Ovis aries: one gene and its partners. The protein of the gene in region 5 purifies or fractionates together with the protein of the main gene of each other region. This does not show direct contact. Links are inferred from orthologs where the notes say so. Each region holds a gene or a part of one and is shown on either strand. Other genes may lie near its edges.

Evidence for each region.
Region 1: the proteins of SMARCE1 (region 5) and ARID2 purify together in Homo sapiens (affinity purification with mass spectrometry; 7 studies listed by BioGRID and IntAct, counting the BioPlex papers as one, with this or other methods). This does not show direct contact. The link is inferred for Ovis aries from reciprocal best matches to the Homo sapiens genes SMARCE1 and ARID2.
Region 2: the proteins of SMARCE1 (region 5) and BCL7B purify together in Homo sapiens (affinity purification with mass spectrometry; 3 studies listed by BioGRID and IntAct, counting the BioPlex papers as one, with this or other methods). This does not show direct contact. The link is inferred for Ovis aries from reciprocal best matches to the Homo sapiens genes SMARCE1 and BCL7B.
Region 3: the proteins of SMARCE1 (region 5) and ACTL6A purify together in Homo sapiens (affinity purification with mass spectrometry; 9 studies listed by BioGRID and IntAct, with this or other methods). This does not show direct contact. The link is inferred for Ovis aries from reciprocal best matches to the Homo sapiens genes SMARCE1 and ACTL6A.
Region 4: the proteins of SMARCE1 (region 5) and SS18 purify together in Homo sapiens (affinity purification with mass spectrometry; 4 studies listed by BioGRID and IntAct, counting the BioPlex papers as one, with this or other methods). This does not show direct contact. The link is inferred for Ovis aries from reciprocal best matches to the Homo sapiens genes SMARCE1 and SS18.
Region 6: the proteins of SMARCE1 (region 5) and PBRM1 purify together in Homo sapiens (affinity purification with western blotting; 9 studies listed by BioGRID and IntAct, counting the BioPlex papers as one, with this or other methods). This does not show direct contact. The link is inferred for Ovis aries from reciprocal best matches to the Homo sapiens genes SMARCE1 and PBRM1.
Region 7: the proteins of SMARCE1 (region 5) and DPF2 purify together in Homo sapiens (affinity purification with mass spectrometry; 9 studies listed by BioGRID and IntAct, counting the BioPlex papers as one, with this or other methods). This does not show direct contact. The link is inferred for Ovis aries from reciprocal best matches to the Homo sapiens genes SMARCE1 and DPF2.

The regions. Positions count from the first base shown.
Region 1 is NC_056056.1:140,644,103-140,647,879, forward strand, and holds part of ARID2 (AT-rich interactive domain-containing protein 2), read right to left. Parts: intron 3,548-3,777; coding exon 3,351-3,547; intron 3,092-3,350; coding exon 231-3,091; intron 1-230. UniProt on the Homo sapiens protein: Involved in transcriptional activation and repression of select genes by chromatin remodeling (alteration of DNA-nucleosome topology). Required for the stability of the SWI/SNF chromatin remodeling complex SWI/SNF-B (PBAF).
Region 2 is NC_056077.1:34,113,145-34,117,649, reverse strand, and holds the start of BCL7B (B-cell CLL/lymphoma 7 protein family member B), read right to left. Parts: upstream 3,048-4,505; 5' UTR 2,911-3,047; coding exon 2,819-2,910; intron 1-2,818. UniProt on the Homo sapiens protein: Positive regulator of apoptosis. Plays a role in the Wnt signaling pathway, negatively regulating the expression of Wnt signaling components CTNNB1 and HMGA1.
Region 3 is NC_056054.1:208,341,824-208,346,104, forward strand, and holds the start of ACTL6A (actin-like protein 6A), read right to left. Parts: upstream 2,922-4,281; 5' UTR 2,753-2,921; coding exon 2,728-2,752; intron 1-2,727.
Region 4 is NC_056076.1:31,045,489-31,049,810, reverse strand, and holds the start of SS18 (protein SSXT), read right to left. Parts: upstream 2,822-4,322; 5' UTR 2,804-2,821; coding exon of another isoform or gene 2,782-2,803; coding exon 2,713-2,781; exon of another isoform or gene 2,302-2,712; intron 58-2,301; coding exon 1-57. UniProt on the Homo sapiens protein: Appears to function synergistically with RBM14 as a transcriptional coactivator. Isoform 1 and isoform 2 function in nuclear receptor coactivation. Isoform 1 and isoform 2 function in general transcriptional coactivation.
Region 5 is NC_056064.1:40,585,907-40,588,504, reverse strand, and holds part of SMARCE1 (SWI/SNF-related matrix-associated actin-dependent regulator of chromatin subfamily E member 1), read left to right. Parts: intron 1-117; coding exon 118-290; intron 291-824; coding exon 825-926; intron 927-1,542; coding exon 1,543-1,765; intron 1,766-2,598. UniProt on the Homo sapiens protein: Involved in transcriptional activation and repression of select genes by chromatin remodeling (alteration of DNA-nucleosome topology).
Region 6 is NC_056072.1:48,268,210-48,271,986, reverse strand, and holds part of PBRM1 (protein polybromo-1), read right to left. Parts: intron 3,163-3,777; 5' UTR 3,025-3,162; intron 2,764-3,024; 5' UTR 2,686-2,763; coding exon 2,638-2,685; intron 1,065-2,637; coding exon 912-1,064; intron 1-911. UniProt on the Homo sapiens protein: Involved in transcriptional activation and repression of select genes by chromatin remodeling (alteration of DNA-nucleosome topology). Required for the stability of the SWI/SNF chromatin remodeling complex SWI/SNF-B (PBAF).
Region 7 is NC_056074.1:39,982,741-39,987,135, reverse strand, and holds the start of DPF2 (zinc finger protein ubi-d4), read right to left. Parts: upstream 2,953-4,395; 5' UTR 2,910-2,952; coding exon 2,878-2,909; intron 1-2,877. UniProt on the Homo sapiens protein: Plays an active role in transcriptional regulation by binding modified histones H3 and H4. Is a negative regulator of myeloid differentiation of hematopoietic progenitor cells. Might also have a role in the development and maturation of lymphoid cells.

The DNA of each region.
Region 1 (3,777 bases), on a different chromosome or scaffold from region 5:
CTTCTCCTGAGTACATTGCTGCTGCTGCTGCTGCTGCTGCTAAGTCGCTTCAGTCGTGTCCGACTCTGTGCGACCCCATAGACGGCAGCCCACCGGGCTCCCTCATCCCTGGAAAAGGTCCTCCCAATTACCTTTTCAAGGTAAAACATGGAAGAACAGTGCATTTCCCCCTAAAATCATAATTACGCATCAGGATTTTTCAAGAGAAATGTGACAGGAAAATGACTCACCTGTGGGACCACATTCTGTACGTATGTTGGTGGATGCTGCTGCTTCTGCTGAACAGCACTTTCTATTGCTACTTTAGCTACAGTGCTTGGATCTGCTCCTGCTGGCACCGCAACCATCGTTGCACTGCAGCCAGCATTGTTGGGGTCACTGATTGTAACAATTCTAACTCCCACTTTATTTGGAATTCCTGTGACTGTTTCCCTATCATTATCCTCTGCTGGCCTCTTTACAGTTTTGCATTCTGCTGTGCCATTTGTAGACCGAACGTCAGACAACAGGGCAGGAGAATGGGACACTCTTGATCCTGAGTGGGGAACGGCTATGATTTGATGCCCCTGTATAACAGAGGTTGCAGAATGTGGTGAGACAACTACACTTGGGCGTTGCTGAGGCACATCTGAATTCAAACTTGAAGCTAGAGGTCCATTAGGCAAATCAGTACCACTAAACTGCTGTGTTGCCACATTTGAGGCCTCCTGTATACTGCTCACAGATGGTGAAACACCCAAAGTTAATATAGGTCCATTAGAAGTTCTTTCTAGTTGATCACCTTTGGCAGTATCTTGCTGAGTGGCATCTAAAGTCCCTTGTGGTTCCATTGGAGATATCTCACCATTTCCTACATGATTGGAAGTTTTGTGATTTGGAATGTTTTTGCTTAAATGAGAACCATCTCCTTTATCAAAATCACAGATTCCATTAACTAGAGGTTTTTTCAAATCACTTTTAATATCCTGCATGTCCATTTGTTCTGAGTTCTGTTTTCCAGATGCTCCATTCTCACCTAACTCTAACGATGGCCCATTACTGATTAGTGAGCACTGATTAGCCTCACTTTGAATTTTCCCTGAGTTTGAAGGAGGTAGACTTGAGTCACTGTATTTTCTCCCATTTAAAAGACTTCCCACCTGCATTTCATTTTCCTTTGTATCCCCATTGCTGGTGTTTGTGGTTCCTCGTCTGCAGGACGGGTTCTCCATGACTTCAATTTTACGTTCATGAACATGTAAACCTGTTGCTTCTTTTGCTTCCTCCTCCTTTTGGCAAATTATTTTATCACCTTTGAATGGGGGAGTAGCAGTGGTACAAGATGATTGTCCAGCTGGAGATGCTTGAGTGGCTGGAAGCGTTTGCACCTGAAGTCCAACTCCTGCCTGGGTCCCGCTCATGGTAATTCCTGCTGGAGCAATGAGCTGAGTTGTATTTCCCTGACTCACAGTTGCAGTTGCAAAACTTGTATTTGGCACAACCGTTATGGTTACCTGGTTGCCAGAAGTCCCTTGGAAAATGGTTGCTGGGCTATTTGAAATCAGCGGGCCTGGCAATATTTGTAAGTTCGAGATGGGCACGGTTTGCACTCCCCCAGTGGGTGGCATTGCACTTTGGACCAACTGAACATTTTGCTGCCCAACCAATAGCTGCTGAGCTGGAGTTTGCCCTTGCACTCCAAAACCTGCTGCTTGGTTATTGGCCACCTGGTACACCACCTGAGGACTAGGAGCTCTTGCATTATTTGGGGGAGGAATCTGTGGAGCTGGGAGAATAAGCTTACCACCGGGAGTTGAAGGACCACGCTTTGGAAGCAGCAACTGTTTTATCAGACTCGACTCACCAGAAGCAGGCTGACCAACTCCTGCATTCGTTTGCTGTGGTTGAACTTGCATCTGTACTTGTTGTGGCTGCTGAACTTGTACTTGTACCTGTTGTGGAGGTGCTGGTGAATGCTGCTGCTGTTGCTGCCTTTTCACAGACAGCATTTGACTGACAGTAGGAGGTGGTCCCTGCGGTTGAGGGGTGGAAGAAGATGACATGGCAGTAGGGACCTGGTTAGTAGTAGCTGGGACAGGTGATGGTGAGGAAGATGGAGTAATGCTTGGTTGTCCAGTTAGCTGAACTGCCTGGCCAGCTGGAAGAGCTGCTGGATTAGCAAGAACAATTTGGTGAATGGCTGGTGCATAAGTTTGACCTTGTTGAGCTGGCTGGCTTACAATCACTACACTTTGTTGGGGTGGCTGCTGTGGCTGTTGAATAGGCTGTTGTACCACTGTTGATGAAACTTGCTGAGAAGGGAGAGGTTTTGGTGCAATGTTTTGAAACCCTACCCTTGAGGGTTGCGGACTTGGGACACCAGCAATGGTAACCATTTGTCCTGTAGCTACCTGAAAATTCTGTACTGAAGTTGCTGAGACAATATTGGATGTAGAAGTCGTTACATACTGTGGGGGTGCTATGATAACAGTGTCCTGTGGCTGGCTACCAGCTGATGTCTGCTGAGATGAAGTTTGTACAGGTTGGGGTGATGTGGTGATTAACTGTTGACCCTGTGAAACTGTAGAAGTACATGCTGGTATGTTCTGAACTCTGCCAAATATATGACTCTGTGGGACAGCTTGCTGAATCACTGTAACAGGAGTGCCAGAAGGTATCTGCCCCGGTACCACTGTGTGTAATGGAGACTGCTGTGGAATTACTGATGGATGGTGAAGCAGTGTCTGGGAATTTACAACTGTAACAGGCTGTGGCCCTGTACTATGATTCTGAACCACAGAACTCTGTGCAGCTCCTCCTCCCACAGCAATACTAACAGGAACTGCTGTCTGGGGTATAGAGTTCTGGATTACTGTAGCCTTAACAACTTCACAAGGAATTGGAGCTTTATTTTGAATGACGGTCACCGGAGCATTTTGCTGCTGGTGGGTATGAACTGAAGGATTTGGTGGAATTCTTGAAACAGTCTGTGCCACAGTATGAACACCTTGTACTGGAAAAGACATTTGTGTTGCAGTCAAACTTGAAGATTGGTTGGTAACAGGAGTCCTCTGAAAATGGTTTCCTACAGTTTGTGGTCCATGAGGGATTCCTGAAAATATAAGGAAAAGTTAAAATTCACAGTGAAATGACTGAAAAGCAGCATGTAGAAATTATTTTACTTAATTTCAAGAGAAAACAGTTTTAAGAAATTAACAACTCTGCATTATATGAATATGATAAAATAGAATAAGAAATAAAATGTTACTGAAAAACAAGGACAAGTCATACATCTTAAATGTATATAATACATGTTTTCATTTAGCCTTCTTATTAAATTGATAATATTTAATCACAATAAAAATTAATACCTGCGGGTGAAGGACTTGGAGATACATCAGGTACAGAATCAACACGAACAACAGGAGTAGAAACAGGTTGCTGCTGATAGTACATCTGAATGGGAAGTGGGATAGCCCTACGTTTTACTCCTACTACATGAATATGCGCCTGCCCATTGTTACTGGAATCCTCCACTCTCTTCACTGTATGATTTGGAAAGACTGTTCTGTAAAGTACACACACATTCAATTTTAATAACTAGCACATTAACAAAAAACACTGAATTCTAACAATGTTTACACAAACAGCAACAGTATATTCACTGCTACTAATATATGAACCAGTATGAATCATATATTCTACAAGGAGGGGAAACAAGGAATTAAATATTAATTAAAAGATCAATTCTCCAATTTCAAAAATCATTATTATTAACATTGTAGGGTTAAAACAATT
Region 2 (4,505 bases), on a different chromosome or scaffold from region 5:
GCGCATTTGCAAACTCAGGTATCCATCTTGCATAACTTCTTCATCTCCCCCAAATTAATTCAATCCCACTGATAAGTCCTATTATACAAAGCCTTACAGGCGATAAAGGATATATAAGATAGCGTCCCTATCTTGGGAACTCATAGCAATGAAAGATAAGTAAAGAAATCATTGTAATATGTGAAGGCGGCAAGAAAGAAGGCTGAAAGATCAGGATGGAAGGCAAAACTCCTGTGAAACTCTGGGTGCCTTAGTCGCTCAGCTGTGTCCGACTGTTTGTGACCCCCATGGACTGTAGCCTACCAGGTTCCTCCACCCATGGGATTCTCCAGGCAAGAATACTGGAATGGGTTGCCATTTCCTTCTCCAGGGGAATCTTCCCGACCCAGGGATCAAACCTGCGTCTCCCGCATCGCAGGCAGACTCTATCGTCTGAGCCACCAGGGAAACTCTGGGTTGAAACACAATTCCAATAACCAAGGAGCAGGACATGATGCTTTCAGCTAACAGAACTGAGCCTCACACTGGCTTTTGGAAGAGGTGAAGGCCAAGCGCCATGAAAAGATGACTTTAAGATTTCGTTTTACAGAAGAGGGTACTTTTGAGATACGCCTTAAAAAAAAACGAGTAGCTGTTCTCCCCTCCCCACACATACCTGGGGAGGGAAAGGCAAGTAACATTCTTGAATAAGGGTGCAGATTACAGATGGCCAAAGTTGGGGAGCCTGAAGTGTGACTTCTGAAAGTTTCGAGTCCCAATGTGAGCACAAAAAAGCAAAAAAAGTAACTGCTGTTATTGATTTGATTCAGCAAATGACATCACAAAAATATAGAGACTGTGATGTAACAGAAAGAAGAATGAACTAAAGACTTAGAAACTGGAATTAATTCCTGGACAAGCCACTCATTTATTCAACAAATATTTAATCTACGACCCTCTGCTAGGTCCTGGGCACACAGAACAAGATGCACAGTCCTGACTCTCCCGAGCCTGAATTCCAACTGTAAACAGACACCACACAACTCATTTCAGTTAGAAACCGGATCATTAGATTCAACCACATCAAACTGCCATTTCTGCAGATAAAAGAGGCAAACATAGATGTCTTATGGTTCAACCTAATGCCACTGTGGAAAGTTCCATTTAGGAGAGGACCCGATTTAGACTGGGGCTCTTGAAAGGTTTCGGTGAGGAAGCAACTGCAGAGCACAGCCAGGCAATAACTAGGCAAGTGGAAGGAGTGGGTAGAGGAGAGTTGCCAGGCGGAAGGAAAGGTAGTGTGGCTCCAACTGAAAGATGGCCAGCATCTTGCGAAAGAGGGCAGTTTGAGCCAGTCTAGTGAGGTATGAAGGATCATTTTTGGTCTTTATCCTAAGGACAAGAAGAGATCAATGAAGCATTATTTCCTAAGCAAAAGAGTGCTAAAAAATTCACACTTGAAGAAAAATACAAAGTAATGAATGGACCAGGGAACTGAGCCAGTCCTGAAGCAGGCACAGATCACAGGGAGCCGGGTACAGAGTTCCAGGTGACAGAAGATGCTCAACTGCCCTTGGCTGCAGATGAGGAGAGAGATGGACAGAAGAGGAAGGGATGCCCAGTCCTAGGTTTCACAAAACCTAGACCATTAGATTCGGAGAAGGAAAATCATTAACTATTTAACTAGTATTCTTAAGTCCTTAGAGATGAGGAACTTGGTCCTGTAGCAAAATGGACAAATAAACATGCAAATAAAGTCCAAGGTAATGATGACCCTCAGTTTTCCAGGTGGCTCAGTGGTAAAGAACCCACCTGCCAAAGCACAAGACGCGGGTTCGATCCCTGGGTTGGGAAGATACCCTGGATAAGGAAATGGCAACCCACTCCAGTATTCTTGCCTGGAAAAAACCCATAGGCAGAGGAGCCTGGTGGGCTACATGGGGTCGCAAAGAGTAGGACGTTACTTAGCGACTAAACAGTAACAATGACTCTGAAGGGAGTGGAGGGTGAAGGGCAGGAAGTCTTGGAGAAGGCTTCCTGGAGGGAGCTAACACCTACCCGGCTTTAAAGTTATTAGTAAAGTAAAAGTTATCGGTAGCAATCAGCTAGAGAAAAGTACTCAAGAAGTTGGTGAAAACACCTGGCTGTAAAAACTTAGGGTGATAACGCACTGGAACTCCCGGTACAAAATAGGCGGTCAGCCTGCGCCTGCAATGAACATGACAGGAGCCGTTTCCAAACAAGGGGGAGATCCTGATTCTTCTACTAACAGCTCCCAGGTCACCAAGAGAAAATGCCTATCCAGCTCGCGCGCGTGCGCCCTATTAGGAGAAAGACAGCAATTTTTATTCTGACTCCCTGGCCCCGTGGCAGGTGGCTTGCCTTAAAGTTCTCACCTAACCGAGACGTCTTAATACGCAGAGTGCTCAGTCTGGCCAACGGGAACCCCTCAGAGATTGTTAGTTAGTATACGGGACAGTTCAAAACGCAAAAGGTTCCTCAGGCAGGCGGGCGCGGAGACTACGCCCGCGCGGACCCGCAGCTAAACAAACCCCCCAGACTCCGCGTCGCCGGAAGCCGGCCGCTCCCCGCCCGCGCCGCGCTGCCGGGGGTAGGGGGAGGTGGGCGGGCCCGCGGGCCGGGAAACCCTCTGATTGGTCGCGGCCGGCGCGGCCTCTGACCTCACGCCGACGCGAGCGGCTCCCTCCTCCCGCCTTCTCCGCTCCCCCCTCCCCCCAAGCGCCTGCCGGTCGGCTCCCACCCTGCCCGCCAGTTCAGCGCTGCTCTGGACCCGGGCCGGCGGCCTCCCCCACCAGCACCCTTGGGCCTGGCCCCTCACCATTTCCGCACTTTCTCGATGGCCGCCATCACCTTCTTGATGTCATCCTTGGCCCGGCTGCGGGTCTCGGCCCGGACCGACCGACCCGACATGGCGGCGGCGGGAACGGCGGGGGCCGGGGCACTGCTCCCAAGACACCGAGAATCGCGCGCCTCACGCGCCGCCGCCCGCCCGGCGCAGCAGCGTCACCGCAGCCGTCGCCCCCTCCGTGCGCGCGTGCGCGAGAAGTGCGCGCACCCGCCCTCCCCTTGGGGCTCGAGGCATCAGCGCGCCTGCGCGCTCCGCCCCAGGTGCCCCACCCCGGGCGTCCCACCCAACAGGCCCCACCCTGGGGATCTCAGAGTCCCCTGGGCTCCCCAGCGAGCCAGGGTCTGCGGGCCAGCTGGCAGCACGTGTTGTGTGCAGGGTGAGGTGCGAGGCACTGCCAGTGGGGTCTCTGGCTTTTTCCCAGAGCAATATCTTAATTCTCTGGCCAGGCTGCAACCATAATCTATATTTTATGGACTTGACACCAGTGTTACTGAGGTTCTACACTATCCTGTACAGCTGTCTCTCCTGTTTGGCCCCTCGCTCCCCAGATACACCAATGTGCTCCAACTGTGGAGAATTTCACACCTTCAGTATGCCTTCCAACGTTTGCACACCTCTGTTCTCACCTGGAATTCTCTTATCTCTTCTTGATGACCACTTACTCTTCCAACATTCAGTTAGAATTCCAACAAGACTTCCCCCTGAGATCCTGAGGTGCCAGTTTGTCCATACTTGACACTCTACATCAATGTCTCGTTTAATTCAGCAATCGTTGATTAAATGATGCCTGCACTGCGAGAGTTGGCAGGCAAAGTGCTGAGGACAAAATTGGGTTTTGCTTTCAAAGAGCTTCCAGTTGAGCAGACCATGCAGACCAGAAAACAAGCATTTCAAATGCCATTTTATAAATGCTAGGTTAAAGGGAAGTGCTTTACAAGGTGCAGCCTTAATCTAGATGAAGGGTGTCCAGAGGCATCGGGAAAAAATGACCTTGAGGTTGAATTTTGAGAATACAGTAGATGCAATTGCTCTAAGTCCTCACTGTGTCCACAGACGCTGTAGATGCTCAGTAGATGTTTGGGTGAATAGTCAGTCTTCAGTGCAGCTCCCTGTCTTCCCGTCACCCCAGGCATTTATTCATGCTTTCCGTATGCAGAGAGGGCCCTGAAGCAGTCGCTTCAAGAAACAGAAAGGAAGCAGGTGACAGTTTGCATTGCTTGGTAGCGGCTACTTCTTTCACCTGTAGAGAAACTTCCTTCTGTGTAGCCAGAGAACTGTCTCACTAACCCTGAACCTGACATAGCATCTATGACTGTATCCCCTCTGTCATCCACTAATATCACGGCTCGATAAGCACGTATCATCTTGCTGATGAGGACCCCAGGAATAGTGTCTGCCCGCCTGAGGAATGAAAGAGCTGAACTACCATGTGGAGGGAAGGATGGGTCTGCTAATAGTGGGATCAAAGGTAGCACATGTTTCTCAAAGCCGTTGATTCAAAATAACTGAACCAAAGAGCTATCTTGAGTATCTGCTACATGCCCTACAGCGGTGGACACTGAGGCAAGGATGAGTAAAACACTCCCCCTGCCTTTCAGGTGAGGATAAGGAAAGCAACAGAGAAAGAAAACTCAAGGCAGAGCATGCTAGGTGTGGT
Region 3 (4,281 bases), on a different chromosome or scaffold from region 5:
CACACACACCTTTTACTCCTGAGTAAATGGCTTCCAAGTTTAGGGGTGAAGTGATATTTCTGAGAAAACATGAAGCAATGAGGGCAATTTTCTAACCTGGTCTTAAAAACATTCCAACACGATACTGGAAGCTGACTTTGCGAAGAGGTAAGAAGGCTGTTTTACTTTTTTGTTTGGACAAGGGTGCCCCAATTCACAGGGAGAATGATTTTGAGAAGTTTTTATGATTAGAGATGGGAAGGGGGGCTGTGGAATGATAAAAGTAATGAAGTATCGAAGATGGACCGGTAGTATACCTGTTTATTTCTGTCAAGGAAAGGAGACTGAAGCAGAGGAGTACCGTGTAAGATAGACACAGGAGCAATGAGTAGGCCCAGAAACCAGTTATGGAAAGTGTGAAAATCTGGATGAACTGTGCATTAGATCTAAAGCGGAGTGTTAGGTCTGATCAGGAAAAAAACACTGGAATAAAAGAGCTACCAATTTTAAAAATTAAACTACAAACATTCATTTTATAAGCAAGTTAGTTAAAAATACAGTTTACTAAGTTAATTACACACAAAATGTGGGTGGGAGGTTTCGTTGCCTTTTACAGTAAACCTTTTGGGAAATGTGACCCACTATAAATACTGGTCATACAGTAGCAGCTCAAACACAAAATCATACACTTATTTTTGTCAGTTTTAAATACTTTATATGTGAAACAGGCTTTAAGATATACTCCTCTACATGAACAAAGTGATGTTTATTCTGAATATCTAAATCATACATGAATATGCTGTGGTTATATACTTGAAAAATGACTTAAAATTTTTTTAATGAGAAAAGGTTTTACTGAAATGCCTTTTCTTTATCCCAGAAGTTCCTGTTGCCCATTTGCTAGAAAGTTATGTAACTCTAGGCTGGTTAATCTTTTCTATGCCTTATTTTCTTCTTTAGTAATATGGGGAAAAGTAGAACCACCTCCCATGGCTGTTGTGGATTAACTGACAATGCATGTATTAAATACAATGCATTACAAGCCTCTGTCATGAAGAACAGTTCCTGGTACACAGGATGCACTCAATAAATGTTGACTGTTGCAATTATTGGTATCCATTTCTACCTTACTCACATTAAAATACTCAGTGGACAACCTTTAGGTCCTTAGATGAGTGAACCTGAGAGTCAAAACAATCAGCAGGGACTTCCCCATAGACAGCAGCCCACCAGGCTCGCCCCTCCCTGGGATTCTCCAGGCAAGAACACTGGAGAGGGACTTCCCTAGTGGTCCAGTAATTAAGACTCTGTGGTTCCCACGCAGGGGGCTTGGTTCTGTCCCTGATCTGGAGACTAAGATCCCACAGGCTGTATGGTGAGGCCAAAAACGAAACAAAACAAAAAATAGAGTCTGCAGCCTCCACGAGCACGTATACTCAGCTTTTTTGTCAGAATTACATCTTCAGGTGGGGAAAAAGTAAATCATGAAGATCCACTAGGCTTTCTCCAAAGTAACAATGGAAAACTGATTCTTACACTTCAGAAATCAAAACCAAAAACATATATGGAGAAGGAGAGGGTGAGGGCCAGCGTGTCACCTGAGCAGAAACTCAAGCTTCACTTCAAAACTACTAAAAACTTTGAAAAGCTTATTTTCATCTCCTACCTATAATATTCCATCCGCTCAGAAAACAGTATCCTTACTGAACACAGTAACAAAAGCACGACTTTGAGTTTCTTTCTTCTCTAATTCATCAAAAACATGAATCATATACATCAATGCTTCATCTAAGCATCTCGAAAAAACGGAGGCTCCAATTCGGTAGATTTAGAGTGGGGCTTGAGATTTTACATTTCTAAAGAGCTTGCAGGTGATGCTGCTGCTGCTGCTCCTTGGATCATACTTTTAGTAGTAAGTGCAGCATTACCGCCGTTTAATCTTCACAACCACCCCAATGGGTAGGAATTATCATTCTACAAACGACGAACCTGAAGTTGGCAAAAGTTAAGTAACTTACCCAAGGCCAATGAGCTTACTAAGTGGTGAGGCTGATATTACAACCCAGGCCCATGGTAATCTTTCACTACACAGGAGCCCACCCATCTTTAAGCAACCTTAAATTGCATATGTTCCTAAATTACGCCGGTGCAGAGTCGCCCACGAATAAGTCCGGAGCATCCACAGTCAACAAATAGGGAGAAGTTATTGAAAGGCGTGAGGCTGCGTGAGCGCGGATGGAGAAGGAGGCTGTGTCCTGAGTGGCCACGACTCCTCCAATCAGTTCCACTCCTCGCGGCTCGCTGTGCCACCTCCGAGACGCCGCGGAAACCCTCCAGCCACGCCGACGAACTGCTGGGACCTCCCAACTTTAAACGGGCGCGCACACCGCGACAGAGCCGGCTGGGAGAGAGGTGACCCTGCGGCCAGTCACTCCAGCCGCGGCTCTCCGGGCCTGGCCCGCGAGTGGAGCTGCCCGACCAGCCCCGGACCGCGCGCAGCCCCAAAAGTCGGCTCCTCGGCGGCCCGAGGCTGGAAGGGGCCGTAGGGGGCGGCGACTCCCGGCGCCTGTAGCGCTCGCCGAGCCGGGTGGGCTCCGGAGGCGGGCAGAGCGCGGGGCGGGGATAGGGCGGGGAGGCCGGGGTCCCCAGGGGGAGACCGGAAGGGCCGCCGGGAAGGGGAGGGCTGGGGGCGGCGGTTACAAACCCCACAAGCTAAAAAGGCGCGCTCTCCCGACCGACCGCACTCACCTCCCCCGTATACCCCGCCGCTCATGGTTGCTGTCGACGAGACTTCTACTCGTAAAGGCCACCTGGCGAAATGACTGCAACGGCTGCGACTGCGGGTCTGCAGAAGCGCTAGCCCCCGACTCCCTTAACTTCCACCACCACCCCCCTCAGGCAACAAAGCGGCGGCCACACACACCCGGAACGCAGTCACACTTGCTGTCTCCTGCTATCGGCCAATCACAAGAGGCCCGGCTACACTTCAACCAATAAAAATAAGGCTGTGCTACAGCCTTGTCGCGGCACAGCCAGTTTAGCCAATCGAAGGCAGCCATAGGGGCGGGGAGAGAGGAAAGCGACGGAAGGAGGGAAGGAGTTGGGTTGCGGAACCGGGGAGGCGGGGCTTCTTTAGTGGGAGGGAAAGTGGGGCGGAGGGAGCTGGAGGGGGAGGAGGAAGGCTGGAGGCAACAGTCTGGGGCGGGCTCAGGATGTAGCTGGGAGCGGAGGAGAGGTGGGAATCCGGTAGAGCAAGCTAAGCCTCTGAAAAAGAAGTCTGGAATTTGAGAAAGTGTCTCCACCAGGAGTACCCGTGGTTTGGGCTTGTAGTGAATGAGGGTTGGTGTTTTTTTGTTTTTTGTTTTTATTTTTTTCAGAAAAAGTATTTTCAACTAACTGAAAAAATTGAATGTTATCCTCCACTTTGGGGTAGAGGGCATCAGTAAACCAGACAAACCGATAAGACCCTGGAATTTTAAAAGTGGTTACTAATAATTAAAAGAAGGAGATGACACAGTATCCCAGTTAACTTTAGTAGCGCTTAAAATGTGTCATCAATTCCTTTTATCCTGTGAGGCAGGTGTAATACAATGTAATCAGTCCTCACCTGAGCGAGCACCTAATCCTAAACACATCTCGGAACGGTCTGTTCTTAGTCCCCTGTGTCTACCAACCCAGTCAGATCACCGTTGTCCCTCTCCCAGGATTACTACAACAATTTGTCCCTTTGCCTCTTAGCAGGCAGCTTGATCTATAAAAACTCCCAAATCACGGTCATGTTGTAAATCCTTGAGGTTAATAGCCGTCCTTAAATTAGTTTGTCTAGAGTCTAGACATATAGGTAGTTTTTAAGAACAATTGATTAACTCCATCAATCTCAGTGCCACAGAGTGGCAGAAAGTGATTGTAGGATAGGGAACAAGGCTAGTGAGAAAACCCTTTACTATTCACTTAGTGTAATCTCGGTTGTTGTTCACTCACTAAATCGTGTTTGATTCTTTGTAACTGCATGGACTGCAGCCCACCAGGCTTCCCTGTCCCTCACCATCTCCTAGAGTTTGCTCAAACTCATGTTCATCCAGTCAGTGAAGTGAAATGAAGTTGCTCAGTTGTGTCCGACTCTCTGGGACCCCATGGACTGTAGCCTACCAGACTCCTCCGTCCATGGGATTTTCCAGGCAAGAGCACTGGAGTGGGTTGCCATTTCCTTCTGCATCACCAGATGGTGATGCCATCCAACCATCTCATTCTCTGGCCTTCCCTTCTCCTCCTGCCTTCAATCTTTCCCAGCATCAGGGTATC
Region 4 (4,322 bases), on a different chromosome or scaffold from region 5:
TCCTTTATTCTGATAGTCCATTATACACTGAATAAGATGGTTATTTTCATCCAGCATCTGAAATAAAAGTAAAAAAAGTTTATTGTAAGTCTCATGCATCAAGTAAAATAAAAAATTAAGATTTCTATAAAAGTTTATCTATACAGGAACTGACTCCACAGTTCTTTTTTATACCTACAATATAGCTCTGCATAAAAGATCTTATTTTATATCTTTGGGATGTTATGTTTAATCAACAATTTCTTTTTTTTAACCACTGCCACCCAGCTTGTGGGATCTTAGTTCCCAATCAGGGATTGAACCTGTGCCCCCTGCAGTAGAAGCTAATCTGTCCTAATCCAGAATGAAGTAAACTGATGAAAACTTCAGCACAGGAGGCTTAAGGAGATAGCTGGCTAGCTTCCAAGTTTTATGTTGATGTTCAGTCACTAAGTCATGTCTGACTCTTTGAGACCCCATGGACTGCAGCACACCAAACTTCCCTGTCCTTCACCCTCTCCCAGAGCTTGCTCAAACTTGTGCCCATGAGTCCATGATACCATCCAACCATCTCTTCCTCTGTCGCCTCCTTCTCCTGCTGCCCTCAATCTTTCCCAGCAGTTTTATGCAGCATGGTTTTGTGACTTTCCAAATATGCAATAATTCCAATAATTTCTCGGTAAGTACTATATTAACCACAGACCCTATGAGCCAACCTTATAATTGTCCCAAAAGTTTAAAAACAAGCATATATTTATCATACTATGAAAACAATTCAAAGCAAAACTGGCTTTAAGGATTAAATAATGCATCTAAGCAGAGTGGTGCTGAGGAAAAAGCACTGATGTAGCAATTAAAAGGCCAGTTTTACTGTCAAGCTATCCTGAGCAAACCACTCAAGATGTCAAAGGCTCAGATTTATCAAGGGACAGGAGTAGATGTTCCTCCTCAAACCGCCCCCACCCTTCCAGGATTTCAAAGCTTTAATACCATAACCACTCTTTCTCATTAATTTAGTTAATGTAATTCTTTTAATTAAACATGAAGATCCATTTAAAAGTGTGACTTCTTTTCTGCATATGAATGTCTTTACTTGGTGGAAAAAAAAAACATTAACATGCCCTTCAAAAAAAAAATTGCAGTTTTCTTCTTATATCTACTCATCAGATGCCAAAAAAATTGTCTTTAGAATGTGTTTTAATACAATCTCCAATCTAATGATTTCACAACCTATCTTCTCAGTAGATTCCACGGTTTAACAATCTTCACCATTAGAACGTCTGGGTTTGTCTTGTATCTAACGTCATTCCCTCACGCTATACAATCAGGCACTTAATGTGGGATCCTTTTTCTCTCCTGAGCTGAGGATGAACACTTTAACTGATCAGCATCTCTTTAGTTAGTCACCCACGATAAATTATCTTAAGATGTAGGTAAGAAAAATTCTTCATAGGAAATACAAACTCAGAACTTTTCTACAGTCCAAAAAGTGAAGCCTTCCAGAAACACGTTTTGTGTACGTGTACTCGTAGCTGTTTGCCAGGTCGCAGACTTCTCCCAGCACGCTATACAAAAAGCACTGCATTTTCAGGCAATGCCAAGCGTGTCTCTTCATAAATAAAGCAACAGTTGGGCAAATGTCAAACGCCACACTGTAAAGAGCCTGAGAGTCAACAGAAGCCTATTAACATAAACTACTAGGCATACGATGGTGTCTTGACAAGTCCTGAAAGTTGACTTTTTTTCCGTTTTGATCTTTATTCCGGTGCATAAAACAAAACCAAACTATTTAGGGTAAACTGCAAAATTTAGCAAATAACTTTACAAACTCTGGTTCACTAAAATTCAGAATGCTGCAGTGCTCAAAGGCAACAAGGGGCAGAAAACAATAAAGAAACCTTTGTGTCCCCAACTAGCAAGTAACCGCGGCCACAGCGCAGCTCCCCGCGTGTGTATCACGTCTTCTGAAACTGATCACGAGGCTCAGACTGTATCCATCACTCGACCCTAAGCTCCCTGAAGGCAGGCAGGGACCATGCTCACCACCGCAGCCTCGGCGCCTACGCTTGGCGCTGCAGCTGTAAATCGGTCGGGGGTGGATCCGGAGGGGAGAAGCGCCTCCGAGAGAACCCCGAAGTCTAGAGGGTGCTCCCTCGTCCGCCTCGGAGCCTCGGCCGAGGTTTCCCGCAGCATTCCCCAAGTTCTGCTGAGAGCTCCCCAACTCGGCTGGAGTTTGCAGCCGAGCACCGAGAGCAAGCAGCGCTCCTACTTCTCCTAGGCCCACCCCGGGGACCGCGGTGGGGTCGACCCGGAGCGGCCGCCGCACCGCGCGGGGCGGGGCGACGCCAAAGTAACTCCGGAGCGACGCGCGGATCGCGGGGGGCGCGGGCCTCGGAAAACAGCCCTGCCCCGCGCGGCCGCCGCCGCCGGGCGCACGCGCCCCGCCGTGCGAACGCCGCCCCATCCCCAGAGAAATCGGGCGGCGGTTACTAGGGCTTTTGTGCCCGTAGGAAGGAGCCCGAGGGGGCGCGCAAGACTCCGCGAGGGGAGCAGTTCGCCCCCTCCGCCACCCACTCGGGCGCAGCCCCGCGGCTCAGGTTCCCACACCCGCCCGCCAGCCCAGCAGGCCCGCCTCCGCCCCCGGCGCGGCCGACAAGCCCGGCCCGAGCCCAACCCCCGGGTTCCTCCTCAACGCGGTCCGGGCCTGGCATCCCCGACGCCGCGCGGCTTCACCTTCTGAATCGCGGCGGGAGTGATCTCCCCCTTGCCGCGCTGCCTCGGGGCCGCGAACGCCACGGACATGTTGCCGCCGTCACCACTACGGGTAAGTCCCGAGCGCTCCGGGTGAACGGCAAACTGGGGGAGAGACGCCGGCCTCTCGGGCCGAACCACGTCGGGCTCGCGGGGAGGGGGGATGCTCCGGCGCCCGACGGGCAGCCGGCCTGCCCCGCCTGCGGGAGGAGCTCTGGCCCGAATTAGTCCGGTTTCTGCGCAGTACCTGGGAGCCGCGGTCCCCGCAGAACGTCCCTGTTCTCGGTCGCCCTCCGGTTCCTCCGCCTGTCCTTCCCCGCCACCCCCGGCCCTCTGCGCTCGTGGTAGGGCCGCGCCCCAGCCCTCCCTCCGCTTCAGCGATTCAGGAAATGGTCCCGCCGCCCGCGGGAGAGGGAGCGGCTAGGGCAGCCCCTGTCACAGGAAATGCGAGCGCTCGAGCCGGCCCGCCCCCTTCGCGCGGGGCCACTTGCCTCCCTCTCCGCGCGCCCGGGTGTCCCTCGGCGGCGTTTCGGCTCTCCGCTCTAGAGCTCGAGCAGTTTTGCCAACTTCATCTTCAGCCCCTCCTGGGTAGAAGTGGCCGCCCCGAGCTGTGCGGGTATCCGGAGAGGGGAGGAGGAAGGTCAGGAACGGGGAGTTTCGTGCGCACCCGTGGAGCATCTGCTGAGACCGGGCAGGGGTGGCCGGACTAGGGAAGCGCCGATTCGCTGGTTTGAATGGCTCGGCTACGCCCCGAAGTGCGCACCTCCGAGTCCACGGTCTCGTGCGCGCACACAGCCCTGCCGAACAATTAGAAAGTAAGCGCGACCCAAAATCGGGAAACGAAGGCTATGTCCTGTACTTCATGGGCAGTCGGCCAGCTTGGCTGCAGCGGCCAGAGTTCGCCTCTTAGGATAAACCCTTGAGGGAAATGTGGGTCAGTTTCATCTGACTTGCATCTTTGGAATTAGGTTTTGAAATAGGGCACCCTCGCGCTTTTCTTTTGCAATTATGTATTTAGTGGCTTGCTTGTACATGAGGCCCAAGCTAATCAGTGTGAGGGAAAAAGCCAAAAGTTTCCAAATTGTGGAAGGGACATGGGCAAAGGTCCGTAATATGTTGGTGCAGGGTTTGTTAATACACAGTAAAGTTAAACTTTCATGTAACAAGAAGGAAAAGTTTATATAAAAATGTCACCCAACATTAATGAGGCTCAGAAATCAATCCCTTGGTTTATATATAAAATAAACCGGAAAAAAAAAAGAAAATTTCCTTATTTGAAAATATGTCTCAAGTAAATGCTCTTCACAAAAAGGTCATGAGTTTCATTCATTCAGCAAATTTGGGTTCTTTTTATGTGCTAGCCTTTATTGTAGGCACCTGGGATACAGCTGTGAACAAAATGGACCCAGTACCTGTTCTCAAGGAACTTAAACTCTGATAGGGTTCAGAGACCAGAAACAAGTAAATAGGAAGGCAAGCAAACTGGGAGACTGACAGAGGCACTCAGGTGGTTGTGATGGGAAGTCCCCTTGGTTATATTTAACCTGAGACCTACAGGATAAAGAGACTCAAGACATCCTCAGAATAAAAGT
Region 5 (2,598 bases):
TCCTTTGACACCCTTTAAACCCACTTATTAGACCAGTGAGGACCATGGCTTCTTGGTAACTAAGTGCTAATTATGGTAATTGGTGACCTGATTTCCAGATCATGTTGTTTATTCCAGATTATGATGATGGCTTTTCAATGAAGCATACAGCCACCGCCCGTTTCCAGAGAAACCACCGCCTCATCAGTGAAATCCTTAGTGAAAGTGTGGTGCCAGACGTTCGGTCAGTTGTCACAACAGCTAGAATGCAGGTTCTTAAACGACAGGTCCAGTCCTTAATGGTTCATCAGGTAAAGACAGAAAACATTTGTTATGGTAAGATGGGCCTGTGCCGTAGGTGCCCGGTAACCTGATTATGTACCATGCATGAGTGTGCCTGTTAAATATTTATGTCCAATATAACCCGTTCCTGATTCAGGGAAGAGGCTGGAGGGCGTAGACCCTTCCCAGAGATTAAGTAAGTTTGTCATTAAAACTGTAACAGGGAACCTTTTGACGGAAAGTGTATTTGTTAAGAATTTTGAGATATCCTATCAACTTTTACTAGCCTACTAAATATTTTTCTTCCAAAACATTGCTGAGAGCTGACAGTATTGTCTAACTTACTCTTGTTAATGAGTTATCCTCTCTGTGCTGCATTTTTACATTTTTTAAATTTTAGCACATTATATAATAAGTAATTTAAATTTAAAAAGCGAAACACTTATCACACTGTGAAAAAGTGTGGACCATTAAAAAAAAGAGACATATTTTCTGTGTTTGACATTAGCTTTAGAGAAGATAATTTAGTAGTAAATAACAAAGCTTGGTCTTATCTTTTACAGCGAAAATTAGAAGCTGAACTTCTTCAAATAGAGGAGCGACACCAAGAAAAGAAGAGGAAATTCCTGGAAAGCACAGACTCATTTAACAATGAGCTTAAAAGGGTATGGAATGTGTTACCTATACTTGTATCACTGTGTCTGTTACTTTTTTTTCTCATTCTTTTTTCCAAAATAGTGTTTTTATGTAGTGTCATTCACTTTGAAACAGGGTTAACTTTGCTGTAGCTGGTAAGATCTTTACTTTATAAAATAATTTCCATTTTCTGGCAACGTTGCAATAGGTTTGAAACATTGTATAGTATACACGTTCCCTGAACTAGGCCTGAGACTCTAGAACCCTCTGGTATTTTAAACTCTCATACACTTGTGAATTATTTTCATTGCAACTTACTCATCAAATGTCTTCATTAGCTGTAGCTCACAGTTTGCACTTCACACGAAAACAAGTAAATAGAGTGTTTGGCAGCCTGAAATGTAAAACAGAAGCTTTGAGTATAAGCCAGTGCTTTCAGCGTTGCTTCACCAACTATTCTGGAACACTTGATACTACATGGCTGCTAGGGCAACTTTCCTGTAGACACAAGAGCTTGGTTTTTTTCCTGCCATATATATGAATATAGTTCTTAGCCAAGAAAACCCACTTGTGAATAATTTCTCTGATTCAGAGATTGTAAGAAAAGAACATGACTAAGAGAGTGTTTTGTTTTCTGACTACTAGTTGTGTGGTTTGAAAGTAGAAGTGGATATGGAAAAAATTGCCGCTGAAATTGCACAAGCTGAGGAGCAGGCTCGAAAAAGGCAGGAGGAAAGGGAAAAAGAGGCGGCAGAGCAAGCCGACCGCAGCCAGAGCAGTATCGTTCCTGAAGAGGAGCCAGCAGCGAGCAAGACCGAAGACAAGAAGGAGGACGAGAGCATGCCGATGGAGACAGGTAGCCTGCCAGGTGATCGCAGAGTAAATGTTGAGGGCTTTTACAGCTGTCTTTAATTCTGACTTTCCTTTCTCAGTGCTTTCTGGAGGTCACTCTGTTAATCTTGCCTCTTGAATTATTCTCCATATGACATATGCATTCTTTCTTCCTAAATCTTAATCTCTTATAATAGATTCACTTAAAGTGTTGGTATTGGTACAAAATAGCAGTGATGTGTTGCCTTTAGTCTGGCTGTTTGAGGTCTTGGGTATTTGCCCAGATTGAGTCATATCATTCCCTTACTTGGGATATAAAGTATTGAATGTAGTGGTTTAACGGTTAAGGGTACTGGCCTGGAGGGCCCACAGATCTGGGTACTGTTCCACCCCATACTAGCACTGTGACCTTCAGTCTAGGTAAGTTAATTTCAGTTTCCTCCTTAGTAAATATTCTAGCACCCACCTCTTGAAATTGAATTCCCAAGGATAAAGAAGCAGATGTATATAAAATCATCATTACTGGATTTGGCATGGTATTGGCACTCAGTATTTTAACCTTTATTGCTAAAATTGTTTAAACAGCATGTGGTCCTTGCCCTTAAGATCAGTCATCTTTGGTGTCCTAGAACAGAGTTGGGCAAATAAAACCTGCAGGCCAAATCCTGCCTGCCACCTATTTTTGTAAATAAAGTTTTATTGGAACCATTTGTTTACACATTATCTGTGGCTGCCTTGGGGCTCCAGCAGTGTAGTTGAGTAGTTGCAACTAAGACAGCCTGACTCACAAAAGCTGAAAATTTTCTATCTAGTCTCACAGAAAATGTTTATTGATTCCATCCTAGAAAAATTCATACTTGCAGTTTTACT
Region 6 (3,777 bases), on a different chromosome or scaffold from region 5:
GAAAAATCACCAGAAAATTGATCAGAAAGTTATGGTACGCATTAGGATTATTAAAAAAAAAAAAAAGCCAGGAGAAAGGATGAATCCCCAAATTCCCACATGGGAACCCAAATCTGAAATATGCTGACATTATGTCTCCTTATTTAAGATTATTTAAATGATTAAATCTTTCATCAGAATATGGTACTAGTGATTTTTCTTTTCTTTGAAACCAAATCAGTTCATATCACCCTTGCTTAAAAAGCATCCAACAGAGGGGCTTCTTAGCAGCCAGAGAATAAAATCTAAATTCCTAACACTGCCCACAGAGTATGCAGGGTAAACTCTGGCTGGGCAGACTCTGCCAGTTTCCTTCTCCTTCTTGACCCTCTCTGTAATCACAACACATCAAACCCGTTCCTGAGCCAGCTCCTCGGTCTGGAACATTCCTCTCCAGCGCTCTGCAGGGCTGGTGCCTTCTGATCACAAAGAACCCTTTCCTGAAGACATGGCCAAAACAGCCTGGATCATCCAAACTTTTCTTCTTAGCATTCATCACTAACGGAGGCTACCTTTTTATTTATGTGCTCATCCGTCTACATTCTGCTTCCCCAACACCAGCCTCTAAGTTTCATGTGAAAAACTAGCTCACCTTACACATGGTTATATTCCAACCATCACAAGAGAGCTTGGCACAGGACAAGCACAGTTACTCTAGTGACTATATGACAAAATAATATTCTTTATTATTCCATAATATTAAATTATACTATTACTGTAAGGCTTTTGGCTAAATATTTTCATGAAAGAAAGATTAAGAAGATCAAGCCAGAGGAAAAAGAAGCTGAAAGGCCTTGCATCTTAACAGCTTATCATTACAGGAAGGGTAGCGAATCGTGCAGAAGGCAGAAACTGTGATTCAAGTTACTTACAGGGTCTACAGTTGGAAGACTGGAAAGTCTCCTCCTTTTCCTGCTTGGGCCTGGTGTAGACACAGAATGGTGCCCATCATCAAAGTCCCCACTGACACTACTGGAAGGGGAGGTAGCTCTTCTTCTCTTGGAACCCATGGAATCCAACTTCTTCTATAAGAAAGAATTAGCCATGTTCTAAAATTGAAATTTATGCTCTGCCACCAAGCCCTCAGCTGGCCACCTGCTACCAAGCTTCAGATATGTTCACTGTTGCAAAGAAGCTTAACTATGCTTTTTCAATGCAAGTCCTAGACCCTGCTTTAGCTCCTTCACTTATCAGAATGCTACACTTTCCACTGGATGGGACAAATTCAGCAAAAGTATACTCATCTGTATTTACCAATTTTGAATGACAACCACTTCTGGCCTCCAATTTACCTTGGAATGGAGTTTGAAAATCCACATAAAACAGTACACCCACATATAATGGTGTGCTGGTGTACTACCTCAGGGTCAGAGACCCTAAGGAGGTCAGCTCTGGAGTGAGCAGCCTCATCTGTTTTCCCCAGAGTTCCTTACGATTATGACCACTTTCTAGGAAGGCCAGGATGTGTGTGTTGGGGGGAGACCTGCAGAAGCAGACCCTGTGACAAAAGAGTAGGGGGATAGAGGACTAACCTTCTAGCATTTCAGATGTACCCTAAAATTAACACACTGAAAATGAATTTTCTCCATTCAGTAAAGAAAGCTTCACAAGACATAACCGAGAAAACACTCAACTTGCCATGCCTATGCTAACTAAAGTAGCAAAACTCCATTTGGAAATTTTTCTGTCAATTCAGACTAACCTTTTCAGTTCTATGAGGTATTCCCCATGAGCTCACAACTTTACATTTCAGCAGAAGATCTGGAAGAATACCTCAAAAATGAGATTTTAGGTCCTCCTTGGCCTCCCAGAAACATGTAAATATTTGCTCTAGTTTTAGGCAGGCTGCTAAGTAATCTTTACACAACTTTATATATATTTGACTATAACATAAAAAATGCAACCACTGAAATGACCTGCTACATCGAGAGGGGAAGGATATATACCCAAGAAGGTCCTACAATGCTTATACAATTTAACAACAGTATCAAATAGGATACTGTGATTTCAAAGGTCTTTCTTTAAAGAAAAAAGAAAAAACTGATCCTAGGGTCTCTTATCAACATCCAATTTCAGGAAACAGACACCAGCAGCTGAAAGAATGGGTTGCCAGTAATATGGAGAGAAAAACTGGGGATTTGCAGGGAATCGCAAACAGGAACAAAACAAACCAACAAAATAAAAATTCTGGCAGCCAACTAACAAACAAAAGAAGTCTCTAACCTCTTCCCCTCAACCACGGCCCACATGGTGTTTAAAAACTGAGCCTAATATCACGAGGTTCCTTCCCCTAGGACTTAGTTTGTTATACAGTCTATTAGTTTGCTGCAACTGGCTAAGGCTTCAAAGGACTTAGGCCAAGGCCAGCCAAGTTTTGTTATTTTTATTTGTTTCATAAAAGGCTGATAAACTGGCCTCAGTTGAGTAAGACGCAGAAACTAAGGACCAAGCTTTTATAAACAATCTATGACAAGGACTCAAGTGAATCTGATGAACATAAGGTGGGACTCTATGAAAAGGATAACAAAATTTAAGAAAGGTAGAAGGGAAAAGCCAAAGGACAGAAAAGGGAAAGGATGTAGATGATCAGTAATTTACCAGCTTTACCAGAGCACAACCAGCTCCTCGAAAAGCCAGTCTCCTCATTATGTCTGAAGGCCAAGTGAAGCCACTGGGAGAAAGCAGGGCTTTAGAAGTGCTGATTCAATGTTAATGTATTCAAAACTGAAAGAGAAGAACAAGGCAGAGAAGGGGGAAATAAAAAGAAGGGTCAAAAGGAGTAAAAATGATTACGAATAGACAGAAAACATTCAAGCAGAACTGCGAAAGAAAGAAGAGAACTGGAGAAAATAAGTGTATCAGTTCTGCACCAACCAAACTGCTGCAAAGGCTCAGGCACCAACAGTATCTGATATTCCTTCCATTGTAACACCAAATGCTTTTCACATGCTTAAAGATGTCTCACTGAGGTTCCCCTTTACTCACATGGAATGACTGTCAATTCCAGGAACGAAGCATGCCTGCCCAACTGCCCCCTAGTCAATAAGAGCAGAGTTCAATCACAGCTGGAATGGAGCATGAACACATGTGAAAGGCTCACATGCGACACCAACTGTTAGCAAGCTGGAACAAACCAAGAATGGCTTATGGTGAGCAGTCTGGTAAACTCCTCCCCACCAAAAAATCCAGAGAGAGACATTTCTTTCCAAAAGTCCTATCAGCATTGAAAAGATATTACACACAACTTTACAAAGGTTGTTTTTTTTTTTAAAGCCTTTCAACCAATTGGCAGAAGGTCAAAATTACTTTTATAAATAACTCACTGAAAATCAAATAAAAAATGTACATCATTGGGGGGGAGAGGGCATGGTGTATGCTGTGTGTCTGTTAGTCACTCAGTCGTGTCCAACTCTCTGGGACCCCATGGACCACAGCCCGCCAGGCTCCTCTGTCCATGGGATTTATCAGGCAAGAACACTGGAGTGGGCTGCCATTTCCTTTTCTGTGTGTGTATCAGTTCAGTTTAGTCGCTCAGTCATGTTCAACTCTTTGCTGCCCCATGGACTGCAGCACCCCAGGCTTCCGTGTCCATCACCAACTCCCAGAGATCATTCAGACTCATGTCCATCGAATCGGTGATGCCATCCAACCATCTCATCCTCTGTCGTCCCCTTCTCCTCCCACCGTCAATCTTTCCCAGCCTAAGAGTCTTTTCTAGTGACACAGTTCTTCGCATTA
Region 7 (4,395 bases), on a different chromosome or scaffold from region 5:
GTCACCACATATATGGACATTTAGTCAACCCACGTGGATCTCAGGTATGCTATTGACTAGGGAGGCTGAACTAGATAAGCTCTGACATATTCTACAAGAGGGAGACTCCAAGCATGAGAAGTTGAACACAGTAAATCTCTGTCGTTTATGTTCGTAACTCAAGCTGCAGCAACAAACCCTGCTCTGGAATCGAAGAGGGGCTTTCATGGGGCAGCCACTGAGGCACAGCTTAGAACGTTCCCAGCAACCAACAAAGACATACACTGCACGCAGGCAGTGACATCACAAGATAGTCTGGCTTGATTCAATGTGCTGTAATGACTGTAATTTGAGGTAGGCATGAAGCCTGTGCTGGAGAATAAAGAGAAGGAATAGGCTCATATTTGCTCGCCTTTAGGAGGCAGCCATGTCCTCACTAAACAGAGGAAAATTGGATAAACAAGGCTGAGTGCGGCAGCGCCTTTGTTTCTGCTGATGGAAATTGATACTGACACTGTAAGTCAGATGGAAAGAAGGGCTAGACAGGCTGAGAACTGCAAAGTCAGAGCAAGGAGGCTGGAAACTGTCGGGGGTGGGGTTGAGATATGACGAGAGATGTTCTATCAAAGCTCCGGTGAGTTAAATGGGATTTCAGAAGGTGGGGCAAACTGCATTGTGAGTGAGAGCTGATAACGAAATACAAGTTGGAGGAAGAGAGGATCTGATGAGGATAGAGCAAAAAAGAATGAGAGAGCTCTCTTAAGAATCTAAGGCTCCTACAAGAAATTTTAAGCTAACATTCTCCAGATCTTGTTACCTAACTCAGAGGATTTCAGCAACCACAGCTCTTTTATACTATTATTTTGCCCTGTAAGACCTCTTAAAGATTGTTTCAATTCTGACACCACGTTTGGGAGGGATGGAGAATTTACAAACAGGAAAATTCTTCTCCCAGAACAAGATGCAAGTCAGAAAAGATGAGCTAGTAGTCCTGACCTCAATGTAAAACCTCAGCAGTCAGAAGACTAGGCACACCGTGGTCAAGAAAAGCGTCTCTTTACAGGATGAGAATGGTACAGGAAGACTGGAAGTCTCTTTTTAAAGAGCAGGTTCTGTACGAAAATGTATTAACTGTGGTCCACAGCTCTTTACAGCTAGAACTGAGGAGTAGAAAGTTGGTTATTTATTACTGGTACTCAGGAATCAGCAGTTGGTGACCTTCACTATCTCTACAGATCTTTAAAGAGAAATAAGAAGTCAAGCTCTATTTAAACGGGCAACCCCTCACTTCCAATACTGCATGAAAGGGTTGGTGACCTTATTTCTCAGATGAAAGTCTTCCAACATAAACAATCTCACTACATAAAACTCTTAAACCTAGGCAAGTTTTGACATTCCCCCATTACAGTAAGCTTTCCAAGGTAGAAGCTTTGATTCTTTTTTGAGAGGCATGAAACCTGTGTAAAACCTCCCTTTACAATGGGACAGGGGCAGTCAACAAAGAGAAAGACAGGGAAACAAAGAAAGAACATCTGAGTCAGTATGGATAACATATAAATGGTAGATCAGCAGCGTCATTTCTAAATTGAGGGAAATGTCAGCTTGGAGAGAGTGCTGGGGAAACTGAAGTGGGTAGATCAGAGAGGAAGATAATAAATAGTGCTGGGAGTAGGGGTGGCTGAAATAGGCAGCAGGATGGAGCTGAAAGCACGTTAGGAAAAAAAAAAAAACCCACAAGGAGAAGGCACTTAGCTTAATGGAAGTGGGAAAGCATTCTCAAAGAAAAGGCTCCAGGCAGGGGGAGGGAGAGAAGCAATGTACTCTTAGAAAAAAGGCTCTTGGGAAGAGTGGGGCTCAGCCTACTACAAAGACAGTTGAGAAGCTATGTGCCCCTTAGAAGAGTTCCCAAACCTTTACCTTCTCACCCAGTCAAAATCCAAAAGCCAAGCTGCACAACTGGTCACCTCATTTTTCCTACCCCTGCACCAAGCCAAATGTGTCCATTAAAGAGCTTGCTGTATTGGCCGACGGGGGTGGGGGTGCAAGAACCCATTGGAAAACTCATTGAGATTCTTCTTCGGGGAGGAGGCTGGATTAAATCAAGTCCCAAAGCATCTTTAACTCACAGCTAACAGGCCATTCTCAGTCTGCCAAACAACCATGAACTTTAACTTTGCTTGAAATCTGCCCAGTCCAAGAGTATTGCAGAGCGAAGAAGGTCGACCCAGATGCCCCTCGGGGCGGCCAGGGCGTCCTGGACTGCGTCCGTCCAGTGCCCACTTTCCGATGGCTGGGACTGGCCGGCGCCAAGCCCCTCTTCCCTGAAGTTCTTTCCCTCTGGATCTTGCTCTTCCACAAATTCTCCCCAGGAATATTTTTGGTCTCGGGTACCTGATACTCAAGGACCACCCCACCCCCGCCCCCGCCCGCCCAGGAACGTCACGGGGCTGTTCAGAACAAAACAGCCCTGAGCGCTTAACGGCGCCAGGGCGGCCGAGCCTGCTCCTCCGGGGCCCGCTGCGGGCAGCCGACGGGGAGGGGCCGGCGGCCAGGCTTCGCGGGGGTCGGCCCCGCTCTCCCGGACGGAGGCGAAGCCCGGACCGTGTGCCGTACGCAACAAGGGCGCCATACTCTGGAAACCTTCCGCCTGAGGGAGCGCCCAGCCCCACAGGGAGGCTGCCCGTCACGGGCTCCCGTGTGCCCCCCTCAGGGCCTCCACAAGTTTCCAAAGAAGCGCAACGTCTTTCCCGAGTCTCCTGTTGCCCTCCCCTCTAGGAGTCGCAACACGGCCTCTCTGGGCACGTCCCTCTCTCCGCCTCGTCCGTTCCCACACCGCCCCCTGCTTCCAGGTCCCTTACAAGACCTCCCAGGCTAGAAGAGAAAGAAACGGCCACTCACAGCTTCACTACATTTTCCACCACGGCCGCCATCTTCCCGGCTTCTCTCCCTCAGGCCGGGAGGCCCGGAGCCCGCAGCGCGCAGGCGCTGGGACCGCAGAGGGAACCAATTTCCTTGTCTTTCTGCGCAGGCGCCACCGGGGCGCGTGCGCCCGAGAGCGAGCGACGGAGAATGAGCTTCTGGCCAGTTCTCCCCGGCCTGGCAATCCGGGGACGAATGCGCAGGCGCAATGGAGGCGGGCGCGCGCCCCGAGGCTTCTGCTCCAGTTTTGCCTCATCCTTTTAGTGAGAAGGTAGAAGCGAGAGGATCTGACCGGGTCCATAAATGAGAAGGTGAGAGGTTGGTGAGAACTGGCAAGCCCAGAGGTGGTCTAGATGGAGGTCATGCGTCCTGTTACCTCGCTGACCTTTAACCTCGTGGTTAATAACCCTTTGCCCTCACGTACAGACTCAGGGGTTGGTGGGTAGCCGAAGGTAAGAGCAGTGCACACTCCTCTTGGGCTGCCCACTTTAGTGAGAGAAATATTAACTCCAAGAACCTGGCAGATCTTTGGCCTGAATATTTGGGTCTGACAAAAGTTCCCCCACCTTCCTGCCACCAACTTAATTGATCTCCACCTCTTCTTCCCTGCTTCCTACCCCTAAGCTCTTGTCCTCCTCTGAAGAACTTCTCTCCTGCAACTTCCTCTCCTGTACCATTCAGTTCTCCTTCGCTATTGAATCATGCAAATTCATCTGCAAACATGGCTTAATATCCTCTTTAAAAAATATCAGAGCCCTTCCTTAAGCCCTTTCTGCCTTTATCACCCTCTTTCTTTTCACCCTTTCAGAGCACATATTCTTGTTTATACTTACTATCCCTGCTGATTTATTTCCAAGTGTCTCTCTGCCCAGTTTAATGGCGATTTTGTTCTCATCAGTTCATTGAAACATCTAACAAAGACACCACGATCTCCATTTCAACAGATTTCGAGATCTCCCTGTCTTTATCAGCCTATCAGCCCTCATGACAACACTGGCCAGTCACTTCTTTTTCAAACTCATCTCTGAGACACACACTCTCCTGGCTGGCTGCCTATCACACTGCCAGCTCCTTCAGCTTCTTTTACTGGCTCTCTGTCCTCACATCTACCTAGACCCGTCAGAGTCCCCAGGGCTTGGTCTTTGATCCTGGTAATATGCCGTATTTCATCAATTCTAAGATGCACATATTCTCTGCCCTCCCCCCATTTTAGTATTTCGGAATCAGGACACATCTTACCATCATTGTGCCTTAAAATCAGGTTTGGCAGATGAGAGTTGAGTGGTATTTGTCATTGTTTACCCTGCACCAAATTTGCAGAATAGATGTCAGCAGCTTGGAAGGAAAACCTAGGGACAATACTGTTGCACTCTTGTTCCCCAAATGATTGTGGGAATCAAAGGTGATACCAAAAGAATTCATAAGTATGTGTTTCAGCATGAATGTGAAAAGTAGAAGTGTTAGTTGGTCAGTTGTGTTCGACTCTGCGACCCCATG